6 linked regions of the Canis lupus familiaris genome follow. The main gene of each other region encodes a partner of the protein of the gene in region 4 in a complex. Links are inferred from orthologs where the notes say so. Each region holds a gene or a part of one and is shown on either strand. Other genes may lie near its edges. The genes, in order: LIN9, LIN54, TFDP2, RBL2, E2F4 and MYBL2.

The links.
Region 1: RBL2 (region 4) and LIN9 share a complex: the UniProt entries of both Homo sapiens proteins name them as parts of the DREAM complex. The link is inferred for Canis lupus familiaris from reciprocal best matches to the Homo sapiens genes RBL2 and LIN9.
Region 2: RBL2 (region 4) and LIN54 share a complex: the UniProt entries of both Homo sapiens proteins name them as parts of the DREAM complex. The link is inferred for Canis lupus familiaris from reciprocal best matches to the Homo sapiens genes RBL2 and LIN54.
Region 3: RBL2 (region 4) and TFDP2 share a complex: the UniProt entries of both Homo sapiens proteins name them as parts of the DREAM complex. The link is inferred for Canis lupus familiaris from reciprocal best matches to the Homo sapiens genes RBL2 and TFDP2.
Region 5: RBL2 (region 4) and E2F4 share a complex: the UniProt entries of both Homo sapiens proteins name them as parts of the DREAM complex. The link is inferred for Canis lupus familiaris from reciprocal best matches to the Homo sapiens genes RBL2 and E2F4.
Region 6: RBL2 (region 4) and MYBL2 share a complex: the UniProt entries of both Homo sapiens proteins name them as parts of the DREAM complex. The link is inferred for Canis lupus familiaris from reciprocal best matches to the Homo sapiens genes RBL2 and MYBL2.

Annotation. Positions count from the first base shown.
Region 1 is NC_049228.1:38,546,401-38,549,900, reverse strand, and holds part of LIN9 (protein lin-9 homolog), read right to left. Parts: intron 2,705-3,500; coding exon 2,579-2,704; intron 1-2,578. UniProt on the Homo sapiens protein: Acts as a tumor suppressor. Inhibits DNA synthesis. Its ability to inhibit oncogenic transformation is mediated through its association with RB1. Plays a role in the expression of genes required for the G1/S transition.
Region 2 is NC_049253.1:33,112,919-33,116,418, reverse strand, and holds part of LIN54 (protein lin-54 homolog), read right to left. Parts: intron 842-3,500; coding exon 768-841; intron 613-767; coding exon 415-612; intron 1-414. UniProt on the Homo sapiens protein: Component of the DREAM complex, a multiprotein complex that can both act as a transcription activator or repressor depending on the context. In G0 phase, the complex binds to more than 800 promoters and is required for repression of E2F target genes.
Region 3 is NC_049244.1:38,451,248-38,455,329, forward strand, and holds the start of TFDP2 (transcription factor Dp-2), read right to left. Parts: upstream 2,801-4,082; 5' UTR 2,634-2,800; intron 1-2,633. UniProt on the Homo sapiens protein: Can stimulate E2F-dependent transcription.
Region 4 is NC_049223.1:61,545,706-61,549,205, forward strand, and holds part of RBL2 (retinoblastoma-like protein 2), read right to left. Parts: intron 3,007-3,500; coding exon 2,737-3,006; intron 2,544-2,736; coding exon 2,263-2,543; intron 2,172-2,262; coding exon 1,995-2,171; intron 1-1,994. UniProt on the Homo sapiens protein: Key regulator of entry into cell division. Directly involved in heterochromatin formation by maintaining overall chromatin structure and, in particular, that of constitutive heterochromatin by stabilizing histone methylation.
Region 5 is NC_049226.1:82,757,757-82,760,618, forward strand, and holds part of E2F4 (transcription factor E2F4), read right to left. Parts: intron 2,839-2,862; coding exon 2,677-2,838; intron 2,349-2,676; coding exon 2,305-2,348; intron 1,601-2,304; coding exon 1,539-1,600; intron 1,317-1,538; coding exon 1,019-1,316; intron 513-1,018; coding exon 306-512; intron 1-305. UniProt on the Homo sapiens protein: Transcription activator that binds DNA cooperatively with DP proteins through the E2 recognition site, 5'-TTTC[CG]CGC-3' found in the promoter region of a number of genes whose products are involved in cell cycle regulation or in DNA replication.
Region 6 is NC_049245.1:31,961,586-31,965,803, reverse strand, and holds the start of MYBL2 (myb-related protein B), read right to left. Parts: upstream 2,801-4,218; 5' UTR 2,567-2,800; coding exon 2,502-2,566; intron 1-2,501. UniProt on the Homo sapiens protein: Transcription factor involved in the regulation of cell survival, proliferation, and differentiation. Transactivates the expression of the CLU gene.

The sequences.
Region 1 (3,500 bases), on a different chromosome or scaffold from region 4:
TATTCTATTCAGAAGAACATGATATTTTCCCTGTGACCCCATGAGCACACCAATATAGAACTAAAGATGAGGCTTACCACTGTGTAAATGTTTAATCATACTTCCTGCCTTGAAGCATAAATACCGAATTTACTCTTATCTTTAGGGACTGTTTTACTTCTATTTTCAAATACTGGGATGAATCAAAGTAACTTAAATATAGCTTTCGTGTCACAAAATATATATCCATAAAACAATCATCACAGACAAGATAATGAACATTTGAAGACATCAATCACTCCACAAAGTTTCCTTGTGGCATTTTATTATCCCTCCTTCGCATCCCTCCCATTTCTGTACCCCTACTTCTCAAGCAATTGCTGAAGTGCTCTCAGTCATTATAGTTTCTACCTTTTAAAATCTTATACAAAATAAATAAATAAATAAAAATAAAATCTTATACAAATGAAATCATGTAGAATGAACTCTTTTGTCAGGCTTCTTTCACTCAGCAGAATTATTCCAAGATTAATCTGTGTTGTTACATGTACCAATGGTTCATTCTTTTTATTGGAGAACAGTATCCATTTCTATGAATGGCCACCGTTTACCCATTCACCTACTGGTGGACATTTGTATTATTTTCAGTTTGGCGCTATTACAACAAAGTTGATATGAACATTTATGTGTATAGGTTTGGTTTTTTTTTAAGATTTTATTTATTTGTTCACTAGAGACAGAGAGAGAGGGAGAGAGAGAGAGAGAGAGAGAGAGAGAGGCAGACACATAGGCAGAGGGAAAAGCAGACTCCATGCAGGGAACCTGATGTGGGACTCGATTCTGGGACTCCAGGATCATGCCTGAGCCGAAGACAGACAGACACTTAGCTGCTGAGCCACCCAGGTGTCCCTGTGTATAGGTTTTTGTATAAATATAGGCTTTCATTTCTCTTAACTAAATACCTAAGAGTGGAATGGCGGGGTCGTATGGTCAGTGTATGTTTAACCCTTTTAAGAAACCAAAGAAGCCAGGGATGTCTGGGTGGCTATGTTAGAAAGCAAGATAACACTACAAAGGGAAAAGTCATTTCACATGAAAAGTAATTTTCAGAAAATAACATATTGGAGAGATTCACTTGATTTTTCTTTCTGGGGTTTTTCTGTTTTTGTTTTTAGATAGAATGCGTTTTTGTTTTACTGAGGTATAATAGATATATAAGACACTATGTAACCTTCAGGTGTACAAGAGAATGATTCAATATTTGTATATATTGTGAAATGATCACCACACTAAGTCTAGTTAACATCTGTCACCATATATAGTTACAATTTTTTTTTCTTGTGATAAGAACTTTTAAGATCTACCGTCAGCAACTTTAAAATATGCTTTACAGCCACTTGGGTGGCTCAGTTAAGCATCTGCCTTTGGCTCAGGTCATGATCTCGGGGTCCTGGGATCGAGCCCCACATCAGACTCCCTGTTCAGTGGGGAGCCTGCTTCTCCCTCTCCCTCTCCCCACCCTTCACTCATGCTCTCTCACAGTCTAATAAATAAATAAAATCTTTTTTTAAAAAAAGCTTTACAATACTATTAACTATAGTCATCACACTATACATTACATTCCATGACTCATAACTGCAAGGTTCTATCTTTTGATCCCCTTCACCCATCTCACCCTACCCCTTTATCTTGTTTTTATATAAAGTAAAATATGTAAGAAGGCTTTTGCGGTGATAGATGGTTTCTAAAAAGATAACAATGTATTAGTATACCCCGAGAGCTTCATTAAATATAGTGTACTCCTAAAAAACAAGGATGTGACCACTCAGGTCCACTTATGCATGGATTTTATTTTTTAATATAGTATGGTACTATAAATGTATCTTCCGTTCTTATGATTTTCTTAATACCATTTTCTTTTCTCCAGCTTATTTTATTGTAAGAACACAGTAATATATATGTGTTATTGACTGTTTATATTATCAGTAAGATTTCCAGTCAATAGTAAACTACTAGTAGTTAGGTTTTGGGGGGAGTCAAAAGTTATATGAAGATTTGACTGTGCAGGGTCGGCATCCCTAACCTCCATATTGTTAAAGGATCAAATATATTTTCTAGTGTATTCTTAAATATTTTTTGGAACATAGTGGGGCATAGAGAATGTAAGAAAATTATGTTCGAATCCTATAATTTGAAAAATGAAACTGTATTTAATTTTAAGATGCATCGATATAAAAAGCACCTATATTAAAGCTAGTTATGGGATCCCTGGGTGGCGCAGCGGTTTGGCGCCTGCCTTTGGCCTAGGGCGCGATCCTGGAGACCCAGGATCGAATCCCACATCGGGCTCCCAGTGCATGGAGCCTGCTTCTCCCTCTGCCTGTGTCTCTGCCTCTCTCTCTCTCTCTCTCTCTCTGTGACTATCATAAATAAATAAAAATTAAAAAAAAAAAAAGCTAGTTATCAGGATATATTTAAAATATAATGATTCTGAAAAGTTATGTTTCAGGACTAGTCTTTGCAAAGATGAAAAGTAATCAATGTGGTAATTATACTACCAACTAACTTACTGGTTTATTTTAAATAAAAATATTTTTACCTCCGTGGTTTTCCCATAAGTCGCCTGATTTTTCCCCATTCTACTCTTGTTAACTTTCTTGTTTTTAAATTAGGAAAAGATTCCTTCAGACATACACAGAAGTCATTATCACCTTCAAAGAGTGGTCTGTAAGACAGAAATGGTAATTTAGTGGTTAATCACAATTATTTCAGAGGCATAAATTCAAAATATGCTTTACAATTTTCAACATTATACTAATCCTCAAATGCATCTTTCACTTCTACCCAGGACATATACAAAATTGGCACAATTTCAAACTGTTAAAACTAAAAGTGGCATTTGTGAAACAATTAATGTATACAATTTACTCAAGAAATGTCTGTGCTGGAGATTCCAGGAGACTCTGATTTTTGCTAAATCTCACATATGAGTATCCTAGTATATCTTGGCACTGTCATTACATCCAGTGAGGATGAACAATGTTAGCTACAAAGTATCTTTGTCCCAAAGGTAATACCAACAGCAAGGAGTCCTCTTTGAGATTAAGTAAATTTTAGAAAAATAGGGACTCTAGAGGGTTATATCAGTTCTTGGGAATTCTAGAACTCAGATCACACCAAGATACCCTGAAAGCCTCATAAACTATGGAAAAATCAGTGGACGAAAATAAAACAATTTCAGGGGGGCATGGCTGGGTCAGTACGTAGAGCATGTGACTCTTGATTTTGGGACTGTAAATCTGAGCCTCACGTTGGATACAGAGATTAGACTTCAATAAGGTCTTTTAAAAAGAAATTAGGGGGATACCTGGGTGGCTCAGCAGTTTAGTGCCTGCCTTCGGCCCAGGGCGTGATCCCTGAGTCCCGGGATCGAATCCCACATCGGGCTCCTTGCATGGAGCCTGTTTCTCCCTCTGCCTATGTCTCTGCCTCTCTCTCTCTCTGTGTCTCTCATGAATAAA
Region 2 (3,500 bases), on a different chromosome or scaffold from region 4:
TGTGACACCTAGTAATGCATCTTATAGTCCACTTTCCAGGAGCAAGTCAGTGGCATCCTCCTCATATGTGAGGAAGAGTTGGATCACAGTCACAGCGCTCTCCAAATGCACTTGTATTCTGCTGACTTTCATTTCAACATCTCCCCCTTCTCTCTATATAGTCCTGTCCTCTCACCAAACTGATCTCAGTTTTCAAGTGTCTGACTTGCATATGTGACTTCTGCTGATATTTCAAATGCTAGGGATACATAAAAATAAATTCAGAAGTTTCTGTTAGCATCTTAAGATTTTGGAGATAGCCATTCTCATACTGAGTAAGATGTTTTTCAGTAGTTTTCAGAATGTTACAGGGCTATACATCTTAGACTAAATTATCCTTTTTGAAATGCAATGGCTCAATTTTTTTCCTCATACCTGAGTAACATACTGAGCTGGAAGCACTGCATAACCCACATTCCCTGTTCCCGGAGCTGGGGCCAGCACAGTGCCTGGTGGCAGGTTAGTGAGGTTTGGCTGGATCTGTGGCAGTGGTGTAGCAGGCATGATGAGCCGCTGTTGTGGCTGGCTGGTGGTAACTATTTGTGAAGTGGGATTGATGGGTTTGGGAACAACCTTAAAAAAAAAAAAAGTATACCCATGATTACAAAAATACATTTTACAGCTTCTCCATTCAGTATAAATCTCTCTTACGTGAATCTTAACTTTCAATTTTAAAAGTGAATTGTCTGTCTGGGAGATGCTGAAGAAAAAAATTCTGTGTCACTCACCTGTTTGACAGTCTGCGCTGAGACGAGTGGAACTGACATCCGCACTGGAGTGGTATTAACCACCACTGGCTTTGCTTTTTAAAAAAAGGGAGGAAAGGACAATTTATTTACAGGAAATAGTCCTTGAAACATTGAAGATACTTAGTTCTCTCAAGATATCCTCAAAGAGCTTAAAGAATTCCATTTGTTTCCAATTTGGAGCAATCTTTAATCAGGATAGTCACCTGTTAACATTCCTTAACCCATCTACCAGGAAACTTATGGCTACAGTAGCAGCTATAGTTTATCTGCTTTACAACAGAACATTTGTCATTTAAGACAGTCTACTGAAAACACTTCTATCTGTATTCAGATGACTTAACATTCCCTACGAAATCTAGTCAGTTGAAACGTCCTTTAAATAAAAAAAAACCTGCCATTCAGGAGCTTGAGTAACAATACTGTTCTATACTCTAATTGCCATGTTTGTATTAAAACCAGAGAAAATATCATTCTTGTATAATTCATTATTTACAGAGTACCTACTAAAAGGCAGCCTAGCGTGAGGGTAAAGAATATGGTCTCATAGGTCATAACACCCTGGAGACTCAAATCCCAATCCTTCTGCTTTCTAACTCTCTTTGCCTGTATCCTCATCTATAACATGGGGCTAGTACCTCCCTTACAGGGTATAAGGATTAAATATGTTAATCCATGAAAATTTATTAGAACAGCATCAAACAAAGAGTAAGTGCCCAATAAATGTTAGTTGCCATTAATGTATTGTTATTACGACCATTATAACTATGCAAATGGCATCGTGGACTATGTTCCAGAGAAACTAGAGTACAAGACACTTGCTCAAAGAGATTAAACTCAAGTAAAGCATATTAGACAAATACCAAATAAAATAAATACGGTTAAAACAGAGAAAGCGCTTTAGAGTCCAAGGGAGATAGAACGTATGTGTGATTGGCAGAGGATGGGAATACGAAAGGATGCATGAAGGGCACTGTGTATGAGATGGGTTGTGATCAATGGTCAGGTTGAGGAGAGGGCACACAGACTGGAGCAGGACATTCCAGGCAGAAGCAGGAAAAGTGGAGGCCCGATGCCGGAAAATAGCAAAGCACTTCACAAAATGGTGGTGAACAGATCAGATTAGTTGGAACCTAGGGTTAAATTAGGCAAGCACAAGTCTTGAATGTCAGGGTAGAAATGTATATATTTAATCTCTATTCGGGGTGGTGGTGGGGTATATCCACTTTATTTTAAAAATTTTTATTTAAATGCAATTAAATAACATTTAATGTATCATTGGCTTCAGAGGTAGAGGCCAGTGATTCATCAGTCTTCTAATCAGTATTTTTAAATTCAGTGGGCAGTGAGAAGTTTCTGAGGATTTCGAAGTACAGAAATATTACTGGACTGGCACAAAGAGAAACTATTTGGCAGCAGTGTGTAAGACAGGATGGAGTTTCATGAAACAAGGAAAATTAGAAGAGTATCTGAAGTGAGGATCTACCTGAGGTGACAGACAGGAGAGCGCAGTTGCAAGAGACAGGGTGGAGGTGAAAGGAATGTGAACTGCCAAGTGGATGGCAAGAAACTGCATGTGTTAAGGGGAGAATACATAAGTGAGCGTTAAGCTTCAAGTGACCAGGAAAACGACCGCTACCAGAACTAAAACCTCGAGAATGAGCTGATTTGAAGGGAAGATGAACCCGCCATAGAGAAAAGCTATGGTGAAATTCAGGAGAGACTGGCACTAGGCCTGTAAGTTTGGAGCACAGGTAGTACAATTTTTAATACCGTCTACTGCCATTTACAAAATCTAACAAAGGGATTTAAAAAAGACAGGAAGGATATCCCTTCCGGTTTTATTTATGCAAAAAGACCTAGAGCCTGGTCTGAAAGAGAGAGGTTGAGATAATGGGATCTATACTGGTCCCTGAACAATAAAAGAAAAAGAACAGACTTCCTTAAATAAAAATGCTTGGGAGACTTGATGGCTAAAGACACAAAGTTGAGCATCCTGGAAGAACATGTGACAGCATTCTGAACTAAAAGGGAGCGGGGGGGCCCCCCCCCTGCAGCAAGGGGACAGAAGGGGAAGGGGGAAATGGGATACCTCCAGAAGGTGCTCTAGTGCTGATGACCGCACCTCGCTCAATACACTAAAAATCACTGAACTGTATGCTTAACAAGGGTAAATTTTTATAGTAGACACGAATTGCATCTCAATAAGATGGTTATACAAAAAGAGTATAGGACCATGAATTACAGGAGCAGTGACATCTGATACCTGATTTAAAATTATTTGCTGTTCTGATTCTCTTCATTTGCTGTAGCTTTAGTCCTAATAACCACTGTAGACTGGTCTCAGCAATACTAAAAAGAATTAAAAGGTGAACTGAAAGGAATGAAAAGCCTTAATTCCTGCTTGGAACACAGAAGAGTAGACCCCCTACAGCACTTGCTCCTTGGAGAGGAGATGTTGCTCATCACTCCAGGAGCACACTGAGCAGCAGTTCTGAAGTGGCCCTAACAACCAGAAAGTAAGAACTTCCTGGTGGTCTCTGCAACAATGGGAAGGAGTGTGTGGCCTGCCCTCAGTCACATCAAGGGACAGAAGAACAGATGATTTCTATTTGGATAATAAAGAAAGGGTAACTGTCTCCATGTTGTGGGCAAGCTAGAGAATTTGGGAACTCTAGGTTTACATTAGCTTGACATCTGTGTGCTGAGTTTTCA
Region 3 (4,082 bases), on a different chromosome or scaffold from region 4:
CAACAAACAAACAAACAAAGCTTTATTTTAAACGCTCCCTTCTTGGGGTGCCTGGGTGGCTCAAGTCAGTTAAGCACCTGCCTTTGGCTCAGGTCATGATATCAAAGCCCTGGGATCAAGCCCCATGTGGGGCTCCCTGCTCAGTGGGGAGGCTGCTTCTCCCTCTCCCTCTGCAGCTCGCTCTCCTTGTGCTCTCTCTGTCAAATAAACAAATAAAATCTTAAAAAAAACATAAATAAACTCTTCCTTTTTTTTTTTTTAAAAAGATTTCATTTATTCATGAGAGACAAAGAGAGAGATAAACTCTTCCTTTTTATCTTATTTCTGAGTTAACTGTTAAGAATGACAGACTAACAATAGAAGTCAGAATATTTATGTTCGAATTCACTACCTTTGCCATGAATTTAATTTTTGCTTAGTCTGTTTCCTCATAGCGTTCTAAAAACTTTCAAATAGGGATCCCTGGGTGGCGCAGTGGTTTAGCGCCCGCCTTTGGCCCAGGGCGCGATCCTGGAGACCAGGGATCGAATCCCACGTCGGGCATCCCAGTACATGGAGCCCGCTTCTCCCTCAGCCTATGTCTCTGCCTCTCTCTCTCTCTCTCTCTGTGACTATCATAAATAAATAAAAATAAAATAAAAAATTTAAAAAATAAGATAAAATTAAAACTTTCAAATATCTAAAAGGGCTTTAAAATGCTGTGGTGCAACGTAAATATCATGCATTTTTTAAATATAAAACATAAATTAGCAACAGCAGGACAAAGCCAGTTTTTCTATCATGTTAAAAAAAAAAAGTCCCTTCACATTTAAATTCCTAATTATAAAAAAGTCTTTGAATCCTTTAAAGTATCTTTTAGTGCATAATTTTCAGTCACAAATTCTTCTCACATTGGAGATAATCATCTGTACGTCCAATTTCAATTTGCATTGAGAGCACACAGCTCAGACAGTTAAGAGTTTTTGGCTGCAAGGGAAAAACTTTGAAAAGTGCCACTCGGACTACACATTTAAAAGAGTGGAGGAGAAAGTTACAGGATCACAGACTGGTAATATGAAGTATTACACACTTGAAAAATTCCGTTTTCCCTCTTAAACCGCTAGAAATAAAGAGGACTCAAAAGTACGTGGAATAAGCGTTGAGCCTTTATTAAATATAGGTGCCACATTGCTGAAACTGCAACTGTACGGCCAGAACAGTGCTACAGACACCGTGTCTGCCAGTAGACCAGACTCTAGTTCCAGGCACAAGATGTTCTAATAAATAAAAGCATCCAGAGCCAGTACACGAGGGTGATAGAATCTGGGGTCTAGGCATTTGATTTTTCTCCCGGTGTTACTCGAGAATGGACGCTACTATTAAAGATTTATCATAGCAATAGGATAGTGACGAAGCTTTAGCTAGATTATAGGCTAGCCAAGGAAACAGAAAAGCAACATGCAATGTCAGATCAACTACATTATCTTGCGTTTAATTCTGAGCACAGCCTGGATCATGGTTACAGTCCTAACAGAGGGCAAATGAATAACTTTGTATTTTTTGGGTGAAGATCATCTCGAACCATTAAAAGAAGAGTGGCCCGGGGGGGGGGGGGGGGGGAAGAAAGGAAGAAAAATCAAGCTACCGAAGTCAAATGAAAATTCACAAAACTAAGATTTAGGGGAGAAAGGGGAAGGAAGGAAGAGAATGAGCTACTGACTTACTAAAAAGAGAGCAAATAAGTGGGACAGGGAGTCTGAGCCCTGTGAGATAGAATGAGGAAGAGAAACGTACCAAAGGCTCAAAGGGAGCTTCAGCAGCAAATATGAAAAGGGATGAGCCTGTTAACTGTTTCGACAGAAAAAAAAAAAAAAAAGAGAAACAATACGGGGCGCTTCTCTGAACCCGCGTTCGCGGGAGACCGGAACAAACGCGCCCAACTCCTGCGGGGCGCCTGACCCGGCCGAGCTCGTTCCAGATGCTCCGCAGGCTGGTCCTCGAAACACCTGGAAAAGGCGGTTGCAGACCCCCACGAGGCAAGACAACAAAAGTTGGAGCCAGAGGCCGGTCGGAACCGTGTCCCCGAGCCGATCCTGCAAAACCTCTCTATTTTCCAGCGGGGGAGGGGGTCCTAGCCCTGGGCAATTCCTCCAGGCGCGCGGGCCCCCGAGGCGACCCTCCACTCTAGAGGGAAGTTCCCTTGGGCGACATGGGAGGTTCTCGCAAGCGCACGGAGCTTTGCGGCTCCGAAATACACCTGGCGGGGACAGATGGAGGCGTGTGAGTCATGGGCGGCGGAAAAGTCGGAAAACCAGACTTAGAAGCCATCGTTCTGCCCTGAAGACCTGAAGAGACCCGAGAGGAGACAGCAGCCCTTCGCCCGCCGCCCGAGGCGTGACGCGGGGTCGCCGCCCCCTCCCGGGGCGCGGGGGGAGGGGAAGGGGGGAGGGGCTCTCCGGGTCCCGCCCCCCACCCCACCCCACCCCACCCCACCCCACCCCCACTCAGGGGGGACTCGGCCCGGCCCGGGGGCGCCGTGGGAATAAACAGACGGCCTGGGGGGGGGGGGGGCTGCCCGGGAACACGAGGGGCCGGGCCGGGGCCGGAGGCCCTCCGCACGCGGCCCGCGCCCGCGCCCGCGCCCCGGACCTTACCGCCGCTCGGCTGCAGAGGACGAGGCGGCCGCTCAGGGCTGTTCTTCCGAGCCTGGGGCGCGGCTCGGCGCCTCCGCTCCGGTGGCGCCCGCGTCCCGACGGACTCACCCTGGGGGAAGGGGTGGGCGATCCGCGGCCTGCCCGGCGGAGGCCCGCGAGTCCGCGGCCCTGGGACGCCGGCCGTGCGTGCGCCCGCGAGGCTGCCCAAAAAGGAAGGCTCGGAGCGCGCCCGCGTGCCGAGAAGCGGCGGCGGCCGCAGCCCAGATCCCCGCCGCCTGGTCGCCCTCGCCCAACCCGGCCACGGCCCCGCTTCCCCCGCGCGAGCTTTGGCGGCGGAGCAGCACGGTGAGCCCCGATTGGCTCTCGGCGCGAGTGACGTAAGGCGCCGCTGCCCCCGGATTGGCCAGGCCGGCGGTGCGTGCACGGAGTAAACAAACCCCGCCCCCGGGCCTCCCGAGCAGGGGAGGGGGCCGCGCGCTGAGGGGGCGGGGCCTGCGGCGCTCGGCCCGGGGCTCGGCCGCTCGCAGGAGCGTCGCAGGGGCTGCCCCGCGGCGACCCGACCCTCCGCTCCCCAGCCGCGGGCGGCGCGGGCTGCAGGCCTGAGGCCTAAAATTCGTGGACACGCCCATTCCCCCGGGCTTGGGGCAGAATCCTGACTTTTCCATCCAACCCCATCCCCCAGGCCCGGAGCAGGAAAACCCCATCTCTCTCTCCCGCTCGGAAAAAAAGGAACTAAGGAGGTTATATCTGGGTCCCCAGGCCCTCGATGGCTCCCCCCCGGGGGGCAGCGCGAGGAGGAGGGTGGGGACAAGTGACTTTGAGGCCACGTGTGGGCATCCCGCAATTAATTATTCCGACAATCGGTTAGAGACCACTTGGGGATGTGGGTTCCTCAATACCCAGGCAAATAAAATCCAAACCGGGTCAGGTCACCATGTCATTTAGACGCTGAAGAGAAGATTGCAGCCCACACCCCCAAATACCTGCCCCATTTTGTTCAAAATTAAAACATTTCGTCTATCAATTCAGTGCCTTTGTGAAAAATCACGTAGGAGCTTTCTTTCCCATTCTCGTGGGGTGGGAAAGAAAATATGCAAAAGAAAAAAAGCAAAATGTAAACTATTATGTGATAGGTGCTATGGTGGGGGGGTAGGAATAAGCAGAAAAGGTGTTTGAGGGATGGCTTGTATTAAATAGGGTGCTCAGGGAAGGCGGCAGAAGAGATGCCATTTAAGGAAATATCTAAAGGAGGTGAGGGAAGTGAAAGAGCACCTTTGGACTTTTCTCTGAGGTGGGGTGGAGAGACAATTTCTGCAAAACTGTACATAGATAAACTCCTAGGAGTTGGGGAATGTTAAATGCAGTACTCTTTGGACCGATTCTAAAATGCAAAAGCCTCAGTGGAGTGATTACCACGCATTTTCCAGGAACAAATCAATAGTGTTTATT
Region 4 (3,500 bases):
AATTACTCAAAATGGATCAAAGACCTAAATGTAAGAGATAAGACTATAAAACTCTTGGAAGAAAACATAAATATCGATGACCTTGGACATAACAATGTATTCTTAGACACCAAAAGTTCAAGCAACAAAGAAAAAATATAAAAATTGACTTAATCAAAATTAAAAACTATATGGTTCAAATAACACCATCAAGTAAGTGGAAAAACACCCAAAGTATCTACAAATATCTGCAGAATATATAAACTACAGCTCAACCATAGAAAAGCACAAAACAATCCAAATAAAAAATGGACAAAGTATTTAAACTGGTATTTCACCAAAGATATACAAATGACCAGCAGACAAATGATTTCCTGATGGCCAGAATAAAAAACCCAAATAATAGTCAATAAGCACAATAAAAGACATTCAACATCATGAATCATTAGGAAAATAAACATCAAAACCACCATAATGGGGGCAGCCCAGTGGCTCAGTGGTTTAGCGCCACCTTCAGTCCAGGGCTGATCCTGGAGACTCAGGATCGAGTCCCACATCAGGCTCCCTGCATGGAGCCTGCTTCTCCCTCTGCCTCCTGTCTGCCTCTCTCTCTCTCTCTCTCTCTCTCTCTCTCTCATGAATAAATAAAATCTTAAAAAAAAAAACAACCCATAATGTATCAATCAATACTGAGATGACTATAATAAAAAATTGAAAAGCTGGCAAGGATGTAGAAAAATTAGAACTCTAATGCACTGCTAGTGGGAATGTAAAATGGTGCAGCTGCTGTCAAAAACACGGCAAGTTTCTCAAAAAACTAAACCTAAAATTACCATATGACCCAGCAATTCCACTTTTGGGTATATGCCTAAAAGAATGAAACTAAAAGTTCAACAAGATATTCATACACTCATCTTCATAGTAGCACAATTCACCATAGCTAAAAAGTGGAAGCTACCCAAGTGGCCATCAATGGATGAATGGATAAACAAAATGTGATATGTCCACACTATGGAGTATTACCCAGCCTTAAAAAGGAAGAAAATTATAACTCATGTTACAACACAGAAAGATCTTGAGGATGTTATACTAACTGAAATAAACCAGTCACGAAAAGACAAATACTGTAGGACTCCTAGAGGCACCCAGAATAGTCAAATTCATAGAGACAGAAAGTAGAATGATGGGTGCCAGGAGCTGAGGGAGGGGGAATGCAAAGAACCTATTTAATAAGTAAGTAGTTTTATTCTGTAGGGATGGAAATGTTTTGGAACAAGATAAAGGCTGGGTGTACAAGATTGGGAATGTACTAAGTACCACTGAATTGTTCATTTAAAAATGGTTGATTTATATGAATTTCACATCAATAAATTATTTTAGAAAAATGTCTGATAATAAAAAGTGCTAATGAGAAGGTGGAGAAATGAAGACTTCATATACTGCTAGCAGAAATACAAAATGCTGCAGTGACTTTGGAAAAACAGTCTGGCAGCTCCTCAAATGGTTAAACACAGTATAAGACCTTGCAATCCACCACCTTTAGGTATATAGAAAAGAGAAATGAAAACATGTCTATGCAAAAACTTGTACACAAATGTTCATAGCATTATTCATGATAGTCAAAAAGTGAAAATACCCGGATGGCCATCAATTAACAGATAATCAAAATGTCATATATTTATACAATGGAATATTATGTTCTAAAATTTACTGTGGTGAAGGTTGCACATATCTATAAATGTACTAAAAACCACTGAGCTGTACATTTTAAGTGAGCAAACCAAGGGGTGCCTGGGTGGCTCAGTCACTTAAGCATCCAACTCTTGATCTCAGCTCAGGTCTTCATCTCAGAGTTGTTAGTTCAAGCCCCACACTGGGTGTGGGGACTATTTGAATGAATGAATGAATGAATGAATGAATGAGTGAATTATAGCTCAACAAAACTGTTAAAAGTGTTCTGAGAGTAAGGAAGTAGCATCTTTACTTTTTCCTTTTATATTCCAAATGGTACTCACCTTTGCCATCACATAAATGGCACACATCAACAGCTGGTCCAGGTGTCTGTCCATCATAAGTTCAGGACACTGAATTATGGAGAATTCAAAACAGGTCCAGATTTTTTTCCTCAGTTCATCTGAAATATCCAGTTTAGCACAAAGATCCCGAAGGCGGACACCTGCCAAGTGGTAAACCTGGTAGATAAACAAAAACATTTCAAAGTTTGTTTACCTAACACTTATACTTCCCAAGCTTATACCCTGATAAGGGTACATGAAAAATTACCTTTCTAAAGAAGAGTGATAAAGAGCTGGTCTTCCTGGGTCTAATACTGCTGCCAGTTAAAGGTGGGCCTTGTTTCTGCTGATGTCCACCTGGGGAAATCTGTTGAATGGCCACCTGACCAGGGACTTGCAAGGTTGTTCCTGTCACCTGTTGAGAGCTCAAACTTCCAGCCAGGGCCTGAGCACTGAGGGGCTGGATGGAGCCAGTCACGGCTTGTGCCTGCCCTCCAACATTGACCTGGACTGGGAAGAACGTTATCCCTCCATTTTCATTCGCAATACCTATAGTTTGTTAGGGAGAAGATGAGGATGATGAAAAGTTCTCTAGGCACGGGTTTCCAGTTTCTCCCCTCCTAGCCTCCTTCCCCCCCCCCCCCGCCCCCTTATCTCCTGTTGTCATTCCAGCCAAATCTCAGGTGACTTTCCAATAAATGCCACCGAGAAAGAACTCAATATTCAACTCTGCCTTCCTTACCTTGTACAGGAATGGTCACTGTTTGTCCATTGTTGGCTGTGACAGTGGCTGTTGCCATAGTGACCAAAGTCTGTCCAGGAACTGGTGTGACAGAAACAGTCTCCCCAGATACATTCTGCACAGGGACAGCATTGACGAGGGGTTGTGGGGGAATGCGCCCAGGTGTCCCTCCATCAGAAGGGCTATCATTCTCAACAAATAGCCGCCTTCTGGTAGAGCTGGCTGTTGGGGAGCTGTATCTATCATATAATGTGGCTGGAGATGTTATGCCTAGGGTCAGAAAAAAAAAAAAAATCAAACAAATGGTTTAACTCAAGGAAACTGAGATCTAACTTCCAGCCAAGCTCTTAAGTTCAAAACTAATCAGTATCTGAAATACTTCATAAACAAAAATTACAGGGATCATATTCATAAGTATATTCAACTAATGAAAATTCAACCACACACTATTAAGAGCAAAATTTAAACACAAGAATTTTTCTCTATTTGTTTCACAATGCTCCCTACTTTATTCCAGCTCCTGCTAAATCAAACTCTGCCCTCTACTACTACATAATCCTGATGACTTAGGGGCAATTTAAACAATTATTCTATTTTCCTATGATACTTTTGACCATATTCAATTTCTACCTAACACTCATGTACAATGTGATTTTCACTGTAAAGCCACTACTCAAAACAAGGGGACTTGATATTACTAGGACATCATCTGGGAGCATTCCCCCCCAGTTTTATCAATTTGCATCTTTGTCTTTTTCCATGTA
Region 5 (2,862 bases), on a different chromosome or scaffold from region 4:
TGAGTGCCTTCCCACACCCCATCCCCAGGACAGCTATTATGCCTTCCTGACACCTGAGTGCCCGGGGAGGGAGTGGGGAGGTAGGGCGGTGGGGGTGGAGGCAAGGCTTGAGAGGGGCCTGGGAGTTCTGTGGAGCCCAGGCTCCTCACTCAGACTGGCAGAGCTCTGGGGTCAAAACAAGGTTTGATGTGGGGGCTGGCCAGCTCTGGCTGAGGAGACAGGAGAGCTAGGTTCCAGCCCCAGCTGTTTCTGACCTAGAAGTGGCTGCGGCCAGATTCCCTGCCCCTCAGGGAACATGCACTCACCTCCTGTGGGGTCTGCCTTGATGGGCTCAAAGGAGGTAGAAGGGTTGGGTCCGGATGAGCTGCTGTTGCTGCTGCTGCTGCTGCTGCTGCTGCTGCTGTCTAGTAGGGCAGAGGACTGCAGCGGCCGAGTGTCCAGGGCTGCCAGGCCCGGTGGGAGGGAGCCAAGCTCACCACCGTCCTTGCTGTCCGTTCCAGGGCCACCACTCACTGCAACCAGATCCCCTGAACCCAGTCACTTGGGAGCAGGAAGTGGGATACTGAAGTTTTGTGCTAGAACCCACAGTAGGGGTGACAAGAGTCCCGGTTCCCAGGCCCAAGGAGAGATAAGCACTGCCAGTCCCCCCGACCCTGCCCCTGGCCAGCGCCCTGCAGAGGTAATGCAGAAATGAGCCACCAAAGGAGACAGGAGCATGAGGCCTGCAGGATAGAGACTCATGAATGACATGACTCCTGTGACCACACTTCAAGGGGGGCTGAATGGAGACACAAGTGGACTTGGGGAAAACTGTTACCACTAATATCCCTTCACACCATCAGAGCCTATTAGAAAGGGCTCATTTATGACCACAGCAAGGGGAGGCCAGCTGGAGGTTAGGAAAAGGACATCCTCCCCAAGGTCTCTTCCAACTCTGAGCACGCATTCCACAACACAGAGGTATTGCCTTCCGGGCCCCAGAAATCATTCTATCACCAGCTGCCTGTTATTACCTCACCTGCGATCTCAGCTGCTGGACCGGGCACCCCCTGGGCTTCAGTGATGCCAGTGACAGGGGTGGGGGTGGTCAGCTGGGGACTGCTTGGGCGTGAGGTGTCATGGGGCTGAGCCAGGGTAGGCTTGGGCAGAGGTGGAGGGGTAGAGACAGCAGGTGGGCTCTGGAGCAGATCTTCTGGTGGTGGCACAGGCACTGCCACAGGCGGTGAGCTCCATGCCTCCTTGTTTACCAGCAGCACTTCAATAGGGCCACTCACACTCTTCAGGTGAATCTGGTATTTCTTCTGTCCATTGAGGCCCTGGAGGTGGGGGGTAAGGGACAGGCGGAATGAGAAGCAGGCTTGGCTCCTGCCAGCCTAACCCTGGGCCGGGGCCAGTGTCCTCTCCCACCCTAGGCTGCCCGTTCTTCTAGATAAACCCCAAGTCCAGGCCACCCCCTACCTGCCCCACCCGGGACTTATCGGGCTCCACAGCCAGCACCCGCCCTCAATCAACCCCGCCTGCTTGGGCTGAGCACCCACCTCTGGGATGGGCACCTCGAGGCTGGTTCCCGATGGGGCCCGGATGGCCAAGAGGGTATCTCCTAGAATGACAAGGAAGAGGAGTCAGGGCCCATGGGCTCAATCTAATCTGAGAATAGGGGTACCTATTCCTTTGAGCAAGGGAGGAAATCATGGTCTCTTAGGATAGTAAGCCTCACCCGACCCCCACCACAGTGGCTGAGGCAGAAAACTAAAGCTTTTCTCTTCCCAAGAGCCCAAGGGTTAGTAACCAGAAAATCTGGGCTCAAACGTGTGGACTGAAGGATTGCTGGCCATAGGCATCTCACTCCTTGATTGATGGGGCTGGTCCCTAGAAGATGTTCTGGCCAAGGCCAATGTTCCTTTTCCAAACTAGTTTAGGGGATGCAGGATGAAGAAGGAGCAGTTCCTGTATTTGTAATGCAAATAACTGATAGATTGCAAGGGAACATCATGCATATGCGTACGCACATGCTCTGTCCCCCTTATGCCTCTGTCATGTCCGAGAAGCCAAGCCCAGGGAACAGTGCAGATGGGGACTGACCTAGGGACCCAGCCCAGAACTCTTGTACCCTTTCAATATGGTTTGTCTTCATGGAGTCCTGGTGACCCTCAAACCCAGGACTTACCCTGCCTGGTTCCTCTTTGGGCAAGCCTATGGAACCCTCTTAAGAGACTAAACTCTCCTTGGGCACTGAGCCCACTGCTCAAGGCTGTGGCTCAGCCCAGCCCCACCCCCATGTCCCCCTACCCAGGCTCTGCTCACCAGCAAAGCATCTGCAGATGTCCTCATGAGTCACGTAGGCCAAGGTGTGGGGGTTAAGGAGAACGGCTGATGCCCTGCCTATGGTGACAAATGGCAGACCACAGAGAAAACCCAGCTCTTTAGCAGAGATCTGACATGAAAGCTCTCAGACAAAGTCCTGGGACCTGGGGTCTACATAGGGAAGAATCACAGACCACGGTTGGTTGGGGAGGGGCTTTGAGTTTGAGGAGGGAGGCCAAGGCAGGGACCTGCCCAGGAGTTGCAGGATCATCCTCCCAAGAGGGACAGTGCCTAGGGCACCACAGAGCAAACCCAGCTGGACTAGAGGGCCCCTTGCCCACTCCCCGGGAGCAGGGACCGCCAGGAGGATATCAGCTGTTCTGCACGTCCTCTGTGACATTCCGGATGCTCTGCTGCACCCACACCTTGTGCTTGTCCAGTTCTTGCTCCCGCTGCTGCAGCTCCTCGATTTCAGCCTTGAGCTCAATCAGCTTGTCCGCAATCTCCCGGGTGTTGCAGCCAGGCCCCACACCCCTGAGCCCAGAGAGTGGGGCTGAG
Region 6 (4,218 bases), on a different chromosome or scaffold from region 4:
CTCTCTCCCTTCCCCTTACCCATACTACTCCAGGCAAATGGCAAAGCAGGGATTCAAACCTGAGCGTAGGCTATCTAGTTTGAGTCTATACCTTTTAGGTTTTTAAAGACTTCATTTATTTATTCATGAGAGACACAGAGAGAGGCATTGACATAGGCAGAGGGAGAAGCAGGCTCCCTCTGGGACCTTTGGCTCCCTCAATCCCAGGACCCCAGGATTACCACTGGAGCCAAAGGCAGATGCTCAACCACCGAGCCACCCAGGCAGGCACCCCTAGTCTGTATTTTTTAGAGATTTTATATTTATTTTAAGAGAAAGAGAGAGGAAGCAAGCACAAGCAGGGAGCAAATAGCAGAGGGAGAGGGGCAGAGAGAGAAGCAGACTCGCTCACAGGGCTCCATCCCAGAATCCTGGGATCATGACCTGAGCCAAAGGCAGAGCTTAACCAACTGAGCCACCCAGGCGCCCGAGAGCCTATGCTCTTAATCACTACACCCACCTACTTCGTAGGGTGGTTGTAGGATTAAATAAATATGTGTAAACCATTGAGAATAATTCCTAGCCCATAGGAAGTACTACTTTAGTTTTAGTTGTGTTACATTAATAATGAAGGCTACTCAGAAGGCAGGGACAAGGGGCCCCTGTCTTAAGAGGAAACTACCTTGAAAAGAATAAAGACCCCATCCCGTTATTCTAGACTTTACCCAGTGCCCCAGCCTTAAGTCATTCTACTGGGAGGACTTAAAATTTGTAAGGGACACAAAGGAAGAGAATGACCTTGGGTGTCCTAATCCAGGGCCAGCTCAACAGCCAGCAGGATATTTAAACAGAGTTTAATTGGGTGGCCTGAGCAGGCCTGCCTTAAGGCAGAGACGACTGCTGTCTTCTTGTCCCTGAGGCTATGAAACACAACCCCAGAAGGAAACCTCCACCCTTCTCCACGTGAACTACTTGATAGGTAGAGGAGTTGCATGGACAAAAACTCTCCAAAAGCCCATCAGCTAATAGGGAAATGAGTGAACAGAAAATTAAATCTATAAAGGTAAAGACAAACTGCACACTGTGGATGCCCACAATAAAGGTTATTCAGACTTTGGTGATTTGGGAATTTGCAAGGTAGCCAATAAGGGGAGTAACACTTCAGGCAGAGGGAACAGCCAGTGCATGCTAGGAAGAAGCAATATTGTTAAGTCCTCAGGGATTGGCCAGAGTTGCAGTCATTTTTGAGTCTTCTCTCACATCACTTACCGGATCTTTCTGCAAATCGTATCGGCTCTACCCTCAAAACTCTACCTCCAAAATATATCCAGGGGCAACACATAAAAAGATGCTCAATACCATGTCATCAGGGAAATGCAAATTAAAACCATCCAGTCACACGGAGCCAAGAAAAATGAGCGCATATGTTCACACGAGTTTTGCATAGTTTTATTTGTAATAGGCCCAAAATGGAAACAACCCAAATGTCCATCAACAGATGACCGAATAAACAAATGATAATTATAAAATAAATATAACCATACAGTGGAATACTACCAAACAATAAAAAGCAACTGCTGATACAATATGAATCTCAAAATAATTATGTCTGAGTAGATACCGTATGAGGTCATTTACATACAATTGTAAAAATTGCATAAAAGAACCAATAAAAGCAAAAAATGGTTGCAGAGAAAGGATTACAAAGGGATAAGAGGAATTATGGGGGAATGAATGATAATGTTCTATTTGTAATATTCTAAGGGTCCCTCTTTGATCACAGGGAGGGGTATGGGGTTACTGACCAGAAAAGAGGGGAACCAACTCAACATGATCTGCCTGGGTTTGTCCAGATCATGCCAGCCCCTGCTGTGTCCTCCTTTATGCAACTACATAGGTCCAGAATTCGGTCTCTTAGGGAGTTAGGGACAAATGAGGCTAGGCAGGGGGCCATGGAACTAGGCTCACAAAAATCCCGAAAATGTGGAGATGAAAGTAAACCAGAGATAAATAAACCAGACCATCCTGTCCCAGGTGCCAGAAGTGGGGTCTTGATGTAACAAACAGTTCCTTGTGACTAACAAGGAATTACTGGACCCGAGAAAGGAAGTAAGCCCATTAAAGATGTTATCACGGGTCCTTACTTAATGATGGTATCAATAGATTAATATTGAAAGGATTTGGGGGCAGCCCGGGTGGCTCAGAGGTTTAGCTCCTGCCTTCAGCCCAGGGCGTGATCCCGGGGTCCTGGGATGGAGTCCCGCGTCGGGCTCCCTGCGTGGGGCGGGCTTCTCCCTCTGCCTGTGTCTCTGCCTCTCTCTCCGTGTGTCTCATGAATAAATAAACAAAATATTTTATTAATAAATAAATAAATAAATAAATAAATAAATAAATAAATAAATAAATAAATAAATAAATAAATAAATAAAATTTTTTTAAAGGGATCTGGGTTCCCTGGCGGGCTTTCAACAAAAGACCAACCCTACAGCCCTCAGTGGCAACCCTGTCGGGGCCCCTCTCACCTCTGAGCTTTCCCTGCATCTTTGCTTAATAAATACCGCTTTACAGTCTCCTGTGCGCACGACATCCACGCTTCGACTCCCCGAGACCAGGACCAAGCTCTCCCGTACCGTTAGGAACCACCTAATGCAAGTTTCCGGCGTTCCTGTAAGGGGAGGAGCCTCGGAGATGAGCGCCAGAGGCCCGGGCGGCTTGATGCCTGCGCCGCGTCCAGCCCAACCCTGACCTCCGCCCTGGGCCTCCAGGGCATCCGCTCTCACGAGCTTAGCTTTCTTTGGCAGTGCGGCCACTTGTCCGGGAACCGAGCCGGGGACGACTCGCAGGGACGCCGAAACCTTGTCCCGCGGCGGTGGAGACCACCTCCACAGCCCGGCCAGGCCCCGCGGCCGCGCAGGGCGTGCGGCGCCATTACCGCCCTTTTCTGCGAAGACGGAGGAAAAGTTAGCCTTTGGAGTGCAGCTGGCAGTCCGTGGCCGCCGCTGTGAACCGGAGCGAGGGTCGCGGCCGGCCTCCAGGCGCCCTCGGGGTAGTCCGGGCCGCCGGACCACCCGGCGCGCGCCCCGTCTCCGGCGCCGCGCGGAGCATGGCGGGAGTCGCGCCGCCTGACGTCAGCAGGGGCGCCTGCGCTCGGAGGCCGGGAGCCCGGCGGCCTTGCCACGCGCTCGTACGTCGCGCGCGGTCCCGCGGGCGCCGCGCAGTCGGGGGTGTCGTCGCCGGGAGGCTTCCGACGGCTGAAGGGAAAGGCCAGGGCCGGAGAGGGGGCAGGGAGGTGGGGGGGCGGCCCGGCCCGACGCTGCGGGAGCCCTTCGCGCAGCTTGTAGACATTTGCGACTCCAGGAAGTTCCTTTCTCTCCCGATTACCTCGTGAGCTGCGGGAGCCGGGCGCCAGGGTAAGGTGGTGGGCCGCGTGGCAAAACCTGGGATCAGCAAGATTTGTTACTCTCTTTGAAGATATTTCTTCCTGTTGAAGCCTGTGGGAGAAATTTGAACATTGGTCTTAGAAAGGGGAGCTGAGTGGCCGAAGTGGCTGGTGGGATTCTTTTCAACATCCCTCGGTTCCGTACTACTTGGATTTTTACTTAATTTTTAAAATTTCATTAGGGCACGGAGTTTGAGTAAAACCTCTCATATTTGGTTTTATAAACAAATAGTTTAGCAAAAGCCACATCGTAGATGTGTGAATCCTAAGAACCACCAATTTTCCCTCTTGGTCTTAGGGAGAGCAGAGACCCTCGTTCCCAACAACACTGTCTCCCCTTCCTCCGTGTATCACCTCCTCTTCGCGTGGACACTCCTGTTTCTCTGATCAGAGACCTATTGGAGTTCAACAAATAAAACCTCCAGCAGTTGTTTTTACGCTATTAACAGGGCTGATAACCATCACTTTCTGAGTGTGTTTTAAGAGTGAAGTTGAAATCCTTGTTCAAGTCTGTTAACTTTTCATGTTTGAATTTAAAAACACCCCTGCTCACTACCTTAACCAGTCTATTGAACTTAATTGCATTAATAGAGGACCAGTCTAACATACACAGCATCAGCTAGAAGATATTCTTGCCAAAAATGTCTAATTCAAAGCTAGTCAAGCCTTTAAACCAAACTTTGCATTTGAAGGAAAGATAATGGGATAATAGACACCATAATGAAATCATCAAAATAACCAGAATGTGGGACACCTAATTTAGTTGTCAAAAAAAAGTCATTAAAAAAGGGGGGGGGGGG